Caenorhabditis elegans: one gene and its partner. The protein of the gene in region 1 purifies or fractionates together with the protein of each later gene. This does not show direct contact. Each region holds a gene or a part of one and is shown on either strand. Other genes may lie near its edges.

The links.
Region 2: the proteins of F36A2.3 (region 1) and dod-20 fractionate together in Caenorhabditis elegans (co-fractionation; one large-scale study listed by BioGRID). This does not show direct contact.

Annotation. Positions count from the first base shown.
Region 1 is NC_003279.8:8,797,017-8,802,548, forward strand, and holds F36A2.3 (Malate dehydrogenase), read left to right. Parts: upstream 1-1,768; 5' UTR 1,769-1,799; coding exon 1,800-1,862; intron 1,863-2,160; coding exon 2,161-2,255; intron 2,256-2,303; coding exon 2,304-2,380; intron 2,381-2,431; coding exon 2,432-2,538; intron 2,539-2,583; coding exon 2,584-2,682; intron 2,683-3,025; coding exon 3,026-3,178; intron 3,179-3,225; coding exon 3,226-3,376; intron 3,377-3,423; coding exon 3,424-3,530; intron 3,531-4,258; coding exon 4,259-4,465; intron 4,466-4,510; coding exon 4,511-4,570; 3' UTR 4,571-4,632; downstream 4,633-5,532. Other genes in the region: F36A2.2 (tRNA-dihydrouridine(16/17) synthase [NAD(P)(+)]), read right to left, coding at 4,732-4,784, 4,834-5,009, 5,107-5,207, 5,255-5,333, 5,378-5,532.
Region 2 is NC_003283.11:420,524-424,860, forward strand, and holds dod-20 (Downstream Of DAF-16 (regulated by DAF-16)), read left to right. Parts: upstream 1-1,909; 5' UTR 1,910-1,974; coding exon 1,975-2,183; intron 2,184-2,382; coding exon 2,383-2,537; intron 2,538-2,581; coding exon 2,582-2,920; intron 2,921-2,972; coding exon 2,973-3,106; intron 3,107-3,177; coding exon 3,178-3,376; intron 3,377-3,428; coding exon 3,429-3,541; 3' UTR 3,542-3,654; downstream 3,655-4,337. Other genes in the region: Y39D8A.1 (UNC93-like protein MFSD11), read left to right, coding at 33-166, 215-403, 473-644, 691-826, 1,037-1,231; B0554.5 (UNC93-like protein MFSD11), read left to right, coding at 3,990-4,153, 4,248-4,337.

The DNA of each region.
Region 1 (5,532 bases):
ATTTGTATTATTCATTATCTCCCATTCCCCCCAAGACGGTGCTTCAGTTTTTCCATGTACTATACCTAACTTATTGGTCAAGTTTTTCGACTTTATACTACAGGTTCCAATTTTTGTGCATTCTTCTTTTACCCACTTTTTTGTAATTCTCACATCCAAATTCGAGGTTTTCACCGCCGCTTTCAACTCATTTTCAGCCTTTGTTTTGTTCAATCGTATTTCATACATTTCACTTTGACTCATTGAATTTCGAATGAAAATTTAAAAGAAAATATAATCAAATCAATTTTTCGGTATTTATGATTTCAAACAGGTACACAATTTCATTTTAAAAATAGGCCGTAGATCATTTTTTGAACCAGTTATTTGGCCCGCCCCTTTTATGGAAGGAATATTATTGGATATTTTTTATTTCAAAAAAGAAACATATTTTCAACATTAAAATGCCAGGTTTGTCAGGAATTCTTTGGGAAGGAAGTAAGTCGACTCAATTTTTTCTCAATGAGAAAATAGGTTGTAACCCGTGTTTATTATAGTTATTGTAGATATTGCAATTTTTTAACTGGAGATATTGTTTAGAAATTAATCTGTTTTGTTTCAAAAAAAAAAGATCTAGAAGTGTTGCCAATTTATGAATCTGTAAAAATCATTTTATTTCAAGATTTTCAGTTTGCACTTGCCGATTCGATTAGATTAGTTGTTCCTATAGCATATATTCTTTGTTTCAATCATTTCATATCACTGATATCTTATCTTTCATTCTTTTTTATTTCTTCTATGTCTTCTGTGATGACGTACTCGATTACTTGTGCTATATGGGTTAGTCGATTTGTTCTTTGTCTCATCATTTTTTTTATTATCTTTTTCTGTTCGCTCCTTTTGAATTTTATTTGAATGAATTCATTTCGTTGTTTGATTTTCAAAGAATTCATATAAAATTCGCTTCAACTGTTCTTTAGATGCTTAATTATGCGAAGATTTTAAATTTGAAATAATACTTTTAAATTACTACGGTACCCGGTCTCGACACGACGAATTACAAAAATATTTTATTTCAAAAAGGTCTACCCCTTTAAAAGAGTACTGTGATTCCGCCCACTTGTTTCTGCGAAATTTTAATTGATTTTCGGATAAAAAACTATTTATTTATAGCTACTTTTTGGAATACTTGAATTGTGTCTATAAATAAATTACAGTCGATTTTTTGAACTTAAAAAGGCTTCAATTAAACACGAAATCAATCAAAATTGATTTGCAAATGAAAACGGATTCAAAGATCTATCATTTTTCTTTCATTAATTTCATCATTATTATCATCATCTTATTCTTAACGACACAATGTATTTTATGTCCTTTGAAAATATGGCCAGTCTGATCTTATTTCATCACCTCATAATTATTTTCATTTTATTTGATTGATAAAATTTTCTTTTCTTTGGATATTTTAATTTTAAGACAACATTTTGAATCTAAAATTAAGTTCAACATTTCCTCTATTTATATTTTCTAAAAATTTTCGATACAAGTTTTGGTAATATGTCAAAATTAGAAAATGTGAACTTTTATGAGAAATTTCCAGCAATTCTAGAGACTTCAATAAATGCCAAAAATAGATCCAAAAATTCTACTATGATATTCGGTCAATTAAGTTTCTAAATAGAAATACTGAAAGACTTATTGATGAAATTTGGCAATAAGCGATAGAAACATATTTCGTAGATCTTTAACTGGATAGTTTACTAATAATATTATAAAAAGTATTTTACAGTGGAAAAGTAACATTCAACTTTGGATAAACGATGACTATTAAAGACAAAAGAGAATTCAATGAAACAGATGAAATTGTGATCAGCAAGGAAAAGGTGGGTTACTGTAAACAACTCTATTCAAAAGAAATTTAAACTTTTGTATGAACAGTGCTAAGCAGTCTTAAAAAAATTTGACAGACTGAATAATTTTTTAATAACTATTTTGTTACCGTTATCATTATATTGCCACACCACTACAGTAATCTTACTGTACTCCTCGATATCGATGAATTAGGTTTGAGATGATAGCGCTTCATATAAATAGTAATGATATTAAATTGGAAAAAACCATAATCTTAAATCTAAATACATTGCTGTTCAAACATAGATTTCAAGAGCGGGATGTTTTCAGCTCGACAGTTTTGTTCTCGAGTGTCTTGCCAAAGCGGGATGTACCGGAGATCATGCTCAACAACTGGCTGAGACTTTATTATGCTCTGATTACAGGTATTTCACTCTTTTCTTTAGATAAATATTATTGTTTACTACTTTAAGAGGTCACTATTCTCATGGAATCAATCGACTTCACATCTATGTTCATGACTTAATGATGAAATCCACTGCTGTCACAGGTTGTTAAAAAATCATTTTTGAAGAATTTTAATTCTAAAACAAATATTTAGGAACACCACAAGTTCTGAAATCAAAGGGAAGTACTGCATGGGTTGATGGAAATAATCTTCTTGGTCCAGTTGTTGGCAACTTTTGTATGCAATTGGCTGTTGAAAAGGTTTAAAATTTTGTAAAACAAGTATACAATATCCCAAATGTTTAGGCCAAAGAGTTTGGAATCGGATGGGTAGTATGCCGTAATTCAAATCATTTTGGTATTGCTGGATGGTATGCTGACTTTGCTTGTCGGAATGGTTTAGTGGTATGCGAATAATTCTTTATTTGCTTTAGTGAAGACGTGAAAAATTTGAAACGCTGTTACACATTTTATAAATTTCGGTATCTCGTCTCGAAGAGAAGTTAGAAAAATTTAGACTCTAAACTTTAGAGATTTCGAAAATTTTCTGCAGCCTCAGATCTAACTTTTTCTGTTGTGACAGACCGTATTATTGCTCCTTTAATTGAACTTTTATGCATGTAATAACCCGACATATGTTTGGTCGTCTAAAGTCACAATGAGAAATCACCTTATCATTTTAATATATGGTCTCTTTTATACGTTCAAAACTTATTTAGGTTTCCTGCTTAAATTAATGCAATTTCAGGGAATGGCTTTTACCAATACATCTCCATGTGTATTTCCGACTGGATCACGTGAGAAGTCTCTTGGATCAAATCCGATTTGTATGGCTGCACCTGGAATGGAAGGAGATTCGTTCTTTTTGGATATGGCTTCGACTACTGTAGCTTACGGAAAAGTAAGTTCCGTTTTGAATTTCAGATTAAAAATCATTCAAATTTCCAGATTGAAGTTGTTGATCGTAAAGGAGAAACGTATATTCCTGGAAGCTGGGGTGCTGATAAAAATGGAGATGAGACACATAATCCAAAGGAAGTTCTTGATGGAGGTGGTCTTCAACCATTGGGAGGATCTGAGATCACTGGAGGATATAAAGGTATACAAAAAAGGGAATCATGTGAACACACAAAAAAATTCTTATAGGAACTGGACTTTGTATGATGGTTGAAGTTCTTTGTGGTATTATGGGTGGTTCAGCATTCGGAAAAAACATTCGTCAATGGCAGACAACTAGTAAAACAGCGGACTTGGTGAGTTATACTAACCCTCAAAATCCGCTGCTCAAAGAGGCAAATTCGATGAAACCGGGCGCGGATTTGGTGAGTGCCATTGAACTGGTATGTATGTCAATTGGTCGTTTACATTCTTTTGCATGAATGCATGAAGTTTCTTTTTTTGTTTTGGAAAAATTCAAATTTTCGCGTAAGATTGAGTGTATTGTCTCTGTAAACTGGTTCTTCGGCGGAACTGGAATATTTACATTAAAAAAAAACCTCGAAAAATAATATGTTTTTATCTACATATGTGGCAAATGTATTTTTCAAAAAAAAATTTCAACGATCCCAAAACAGGTAACACCTAAAGTATTACTTAGCTAAAAATAAAGATTGAGACACTTCCGTACCCTTTAAAGGCACATCTCCATACTCTAAAATTATTTTGATCGTATTGAGACCCAGCGCTGCAGGATTGAATTGAAAGTTGCATTTCTTAAATTGAGTATAATACAAAATTTCATTGAATTCAAGATTAAATCGATGCAGCTGAGATTTCGAAAATTTATTTTTTTAATTCAAATCGTTTGAAACTGATTCATAAAAATTAGGAAACTTCCATAAAACTGGTTTTAAAAAATGTTGTCCGAAAAAATTGCACCACTTGATTATCTTCCCGCATGTTACAAAATCACTCTCCAAATGGAAATAACCGAGCACAAATATCTAGATTCATTTCCTTTTCAACCTATTTTACAATTCAGGGACAATGTTTTGTTGCCATCGACCCAGAGTGCTTTGCTCCAGGATTTTCCAATCGTCTTCAAGAATTCTGTGATGAAACTCGCAACCTTAACCCAATAAACCCATCAAGACCACCACAAGTACCTGGAGATCCAGAGAGAGCTCACATGAATATGTGTGATGATTTGGGAGGAATTGTTTATAAAAAGAAACAACTTGATCATTTGGTAAACATTTTTATCGATAGATTTCATAATTGTATCTCTTTTCAGAAAAATCTTGCGGATCGCCTTGGCGTCATAATGAGACTCGTTGACGAAAAGCCTCAATAATTCATCTAAATAATTGTGTCCTATCGTTCTTTAATTGTTCATTAATTGATTCTTTAAAATTCATATATTTTCAAAAAGTTTCCAACAGAAAAAAAACAAATTCAACAGAAATTAACAATTCAAAAATCCCAGTCAACTTTGGACAAAGATCACACAAGAATTCAGTTTTCAGCGCTGACAGCAGGAGGTTGACTAGCGAAGAGATAGCGATGAGCTGCAAATTGGAAATTATATTGAAACTTCAGGGCCTTCATAAAACCTACGTTTACAATCCAATAATTCGTGTTTACTCTGATATCTACAACATTTTTTGCATTTGCTATTAGCACATCCTTGTCCAGCAGGTTGTCCACAACGGGCACATGGAGGGAACTTGATCTTCTTTGCTTCAAGGATCCGGGCTCCTGATAGTTGCCGACGTTCTCGTTTACGAGCTTGTCTAAAATGTATTAATGTTTCTAAGAACTTGGTAAAAAGTTATATAATAAGTTGCAAGCTAAAAAAAACTATAGTTCCTTTTTGAAATGTGGTCTTACTTCATAGATACGCCCATTTCCTTTGCAGTCTGTGCAAGCTTTTCCTTCTGTTTCTCTCGGAAAGTCTTTTCTCCTTCTCCGACAATCGATTCTTTTGCAACCTGTAAAATTGTGTTTAATCTGACATAATTATTTGTCTATAAAGTACCTCTTTCAATCTGAAGTATGGTTTTGAAATCCAATGGGGTTGCTTTGAAACTTCTATTGCATTCATTAGTATTCCGTTTCTAAAATATTCATTAATCCAGTTTTTGCAAAAAGTGAAACTAACCGAATATTTTCAAAAAGTGTTCTTGCTTCAACTTCTCGATTTTTCCCTGCTTCTGCGTCTGATTTTGCTCTCTTTGCAAGTTCTTCAACAATATTTTCAAAATCTTCGATACGATGTTCTAAGGATACTCGCATCCGGAGATCTTCATATTCTAA
Region 2 (4,337 bases), on another chromosome or scaffold:
GCATTAAAATTCCACAAAAATTTAAAATTCAGTAACCTCCTGTTCTCTGCGTTCACTGGAATTTCGGTTCTCGGGATTATCACATTTTTTGTGATGCCTTCCAAAGATGTCGAGAACTGTATCGAGAGTAGTTCTGAGAAAAAGGAAACTTTTTTGGAGGCTCTTAGTAAGTTGCACTACTAGATTATTGTAGATCTACAGTAATCCTTTCCAGAACTCACCTGCTCGACACTGGTTTCCCCAACAATGCTCCAGCTCTTCCCGCTCTTTGTGCTCAGCGGCTTCAACACCTCATTCTGGCTCTCAGTTTTCCCGACTGCGATGAGCTTTACCATGCAGAACTCAAAGTTGATCTACCTAGCAGCAGTCTATAGTCTAGGAGTTGGTTCCGGGGAGGTTATAAGTGAGTTTTGGACAATTTTGGGGATTGTTCAGTGAAATTTTTTTTGATTTTACTAAATTTCAATTTCAGTTGGACTAGCGATCTCATTCCTCAGCAAGCGTATCAAAGATTTCGGGCAAAAGCCAACTATGACGATTGGCGCAATCTTCATCACGATGTATTGTGCCATGATCCATATGTCTACTCCGTACGATGCTCCGATTAGGCCAACTAGCAAGGAGCCACTTTTTTTTGGTCATTCGTAAGTTTAACAGGTTTTTCTTAGTAAGTAGCAAATTTAATTTCAGCTACCTTTTGGCCCTAATCATAGGCTTATTTTGTGGAATCGGAGATTGCTGTGTAAATAGTGTAAGATCAGTGATTTGTGCGTTGCTGATGCCAAAAAGAAGACCACAAGCGTTTTCAGTGTCGAAGATTTATCATGTAAGTTAACTGGCTTGAAAAACTGGGGGCGTTAAAACACATACTTGCCTGACCTTAGGGCGACCGAAAGGCCGGCGTGAGGCAGGCAGGTTCTAGGCAGTCGTCAGGCCCTGAAACCGCGCAGGCTTACCATGGAAGACCTACGCATAACAATTTTCCAACTTATGTACATTAACGTTCTACCGGAGCCACCTAGAAACCATATTCCAGGCTTTTGGATCTACGATTCTATTCTTCATGAGCCCCATCACACCACTCTACGTCTACACAATCGGCCTGCCAATTCTCGCAATCATCGCCACAATTTTGTTCTTTTCCATTTCTAAAAGAACACAAATTATGGAACGGAAAATGACGGAGGCTAGCAAAAATGCTGCAGAAATTGGAAAGAAACTTAATTTTTAATTTTTTTTAAAACAATTTTGAAAATGTCATTTTGTGTCGGGTAAACCTTGAAATTTTTTTTGAGATGATGAAAGCTTTAAATGTTATCACACACGTTATCACCTATTTTTTTGCATTTTTGCGGTAGTTCCGTAGATTTTCGAATTTTTCACTTAATACTTCCAAACTTAAATTAATTTAATTTGTTCAATTTTTTTTCGAAATTTTAGTTTTTGAAACTTCGAATTAATCTCCAATGCATTTTTCTTGCAGATCTGTCCTAGGAGATCCGTTTCCCACTCTTCCGAATTAAAATATTATATTTTGTTTGATTCAAAAAAAGAATGCTGGTTCTGATCTTTCGATCATTTAACTGATAAGCGGTTTTCTTGCGAAATTCGAAGTTTAATTTCCGAGTTATCAGTAGAGTGTGTGCACGTTGCTTTTTAATGGGATGTAAGTTGTATTGGTCTTTTTGGAAAAAAAATACAAGAGAAATGCGAAAATCTACATCCTACAAACACTAGGAACAACGGAGGCTAAAAGGTAGGCAGCTAGTCGTGATAAGGTGCCTGCCTACCCTGGTGGCCTCTCGCCGATTTATTCCACCTTATCACACTTATGTTGAAATTTTAATCTTTTTTCTGATCACCACACCTCCTCACCACCCCTCATTTTATTACTTTACATATATAAGGTAATTCCCTTGGACACATTTCGTGACTCAGTTTCAGTTGTGAAATTGCCGAATTCCAAAAAAAAAAATGACATTTTTATCAATATTTTTAATTTCTGGTCTATTTCTGTGTGGCTCCGCTCAAAAGTTAATGAGCTTGAGCTCTTTCAAAGGCACAAACGTGAAAAATAATTTCAAAGCTCATGCACCGTACAATATTTATGTGTCCGCCGACTCGGACGCTGAATTTATTCTGCAGCAGATTTTCGTGATTACCGGAAATGAGCAGAACGTAACGTAAGTTTGAGCGTACCGACCAATAAACGAGACGCAGGTGGCGGGGCCATGACCTCTAATTGGTCAACTCTAATCGCGCGCCAGTTTTGATCTACAAGTCATGTTAGCTCAAAATCGTAACTTTTTTTGGGAAACGCTCATGTGATGTTTTCGAAAAAATCGAATAATAGTTATTAACTTAAATAAAAATGCTTTTCAGACTCCTCGATCTCAAAAAAAATCTTCAAGCTTCCGGAGAAATCACTGCATTCCCGGTTCAAAAATCTGCCTATATTACGACAACACTGAGTGATAATGAATTGAAAACACTTAATGGAGTGATTTATCTCAGCTCCAGGAAACAGCGAGCAGACAGTGAGTTGTATTTTCTAAATTGCCACTTTAGATCCTTTTTCCAGCCAATTTTCACGTTTACGGTGTTTCTAAATCTCCAAACATCATCCTTAGAGGAATGGGAAACTTAAACACCACAATTTTGTTCCTTAACACCATTATGGGAACGAATCCGTCTTCAATCATCAGTCAATGGAGCCAAGACTCTACCGCCCACGCATATCTGTACACTGATTTTCCACTGGATACTGCAGAAGAAACTAATACTCAAATTTTCTCGAACCCGATGCATACTGACAAAGCCGATTTGTATTTTGCAAATGTGGAAAAATTCTCGTTGAGCCTAGTAGCATTCTATCTGAAAACTTATCGAGGTGTCAATTTCAGCATTGAACCAGGATACTGTAAGTGGAATTGAGATTAAGGTCGCAACTTAAAAAAATGAATTCATTGAAGACAGTATTGATGGAAAAAGAACATCAGCCTTCACCACTACTGGATTCTATATGAAGCCCCTGGCCAGAAATGCTAGTACCATAACTGTTAATATCAAGCGAGATGTTAGATATTCTGGAGCTTCTGGTGCAAATGTAAGTTTCATTTTGATACCAAATTGTGTGCTCCAACATCGACAACTAACTCCCTACATTTAAAAATTCAGCTTCTCGGACATGTCCCAAAGCGGGGAAAAGTCACAGTAGGCTTTTATAACGGAGATTCAAAATATGAAGAATCATTCCCTCCAAGTTACTATTTCTCTCCATGGAGCATCCCATATATTGACTTTGAAACTTTCAAAGTTTCATCCACATCCTCAAACTCAACTGCTGAATACTACTTTGTGCAATATTTTGTCGCTCGTGAGTTGTTGTTTTCTAGATTTTTTGTAGTTTGAGGTATTCGAAATTTCAGAAGGTACTCTGTTCGGTAGTCCAACTTCAGGGCCCATTCAGACGGCAACTCAATCCTCCGGAGTCGTCCAATTATTCGTGTCAATGGCTATTTCAACAATGTATTGGCTGTAGCTTTTTGATGTTGACATTTATGGCCCAATTATAATATTATTGATGAAAAACGATGAAAAGTATTTCAGCTCACAATTGCACTTTAAAATGAAACATTTGTAAAATTTTGAAATTTTGCCGATTTGCCGGAAATTTTCAATTCCGGCAATTTGCCGAGTTGCCGACTTGCCGGAAAAAATCGTTTGCCGTCCACCCCTGATCGCGTACTAAACAGACCAAAAAAGTTCAACAAACCAAAAAAAATGTGTGAAAAATTGCACAATTCTCTGAAAAACGTCTGTCATCCTTTCTCCGCCTTCCGTTTGAACTTGTTCAGCCGATTATGCAAAACTTTTTAAACTTGCCTATTAATTCAGCCTAGAACTTTCCAACTTTCCGTCACCGCAGTTTCCACTCTCCGCAAATTTTCGGTTCAAAGTTTTTGAAACTGATATTTTTGTAAAAAAAAATGAATCAACGGCGATTCGAACTATTATGCGCAGCATTGCTCGGCTTCGGTCAGCTGTGCATAATGACTGGATTCGATTCAGAGTCGTTTATTCTAGAGTCTGTAATTCATTCGATTCATGAGAGAGAACCCGCAAAAATCAGCATCTATGCTGGGTATTATGGGTGAGTGGAAAGTTCAACTGACCAATCATTGAACATTTTAAATGTTATAACTTTGGTTTATATGTACCAACAATTAAACACAAAATATTTTCAGCCAAGCCGTGATCTATGCCTTCTACATGATAGCTTGTCTATTCTCGCCCTCCATAATAGCAGTGAGCACCCCGAAAACCAATTTGATAAT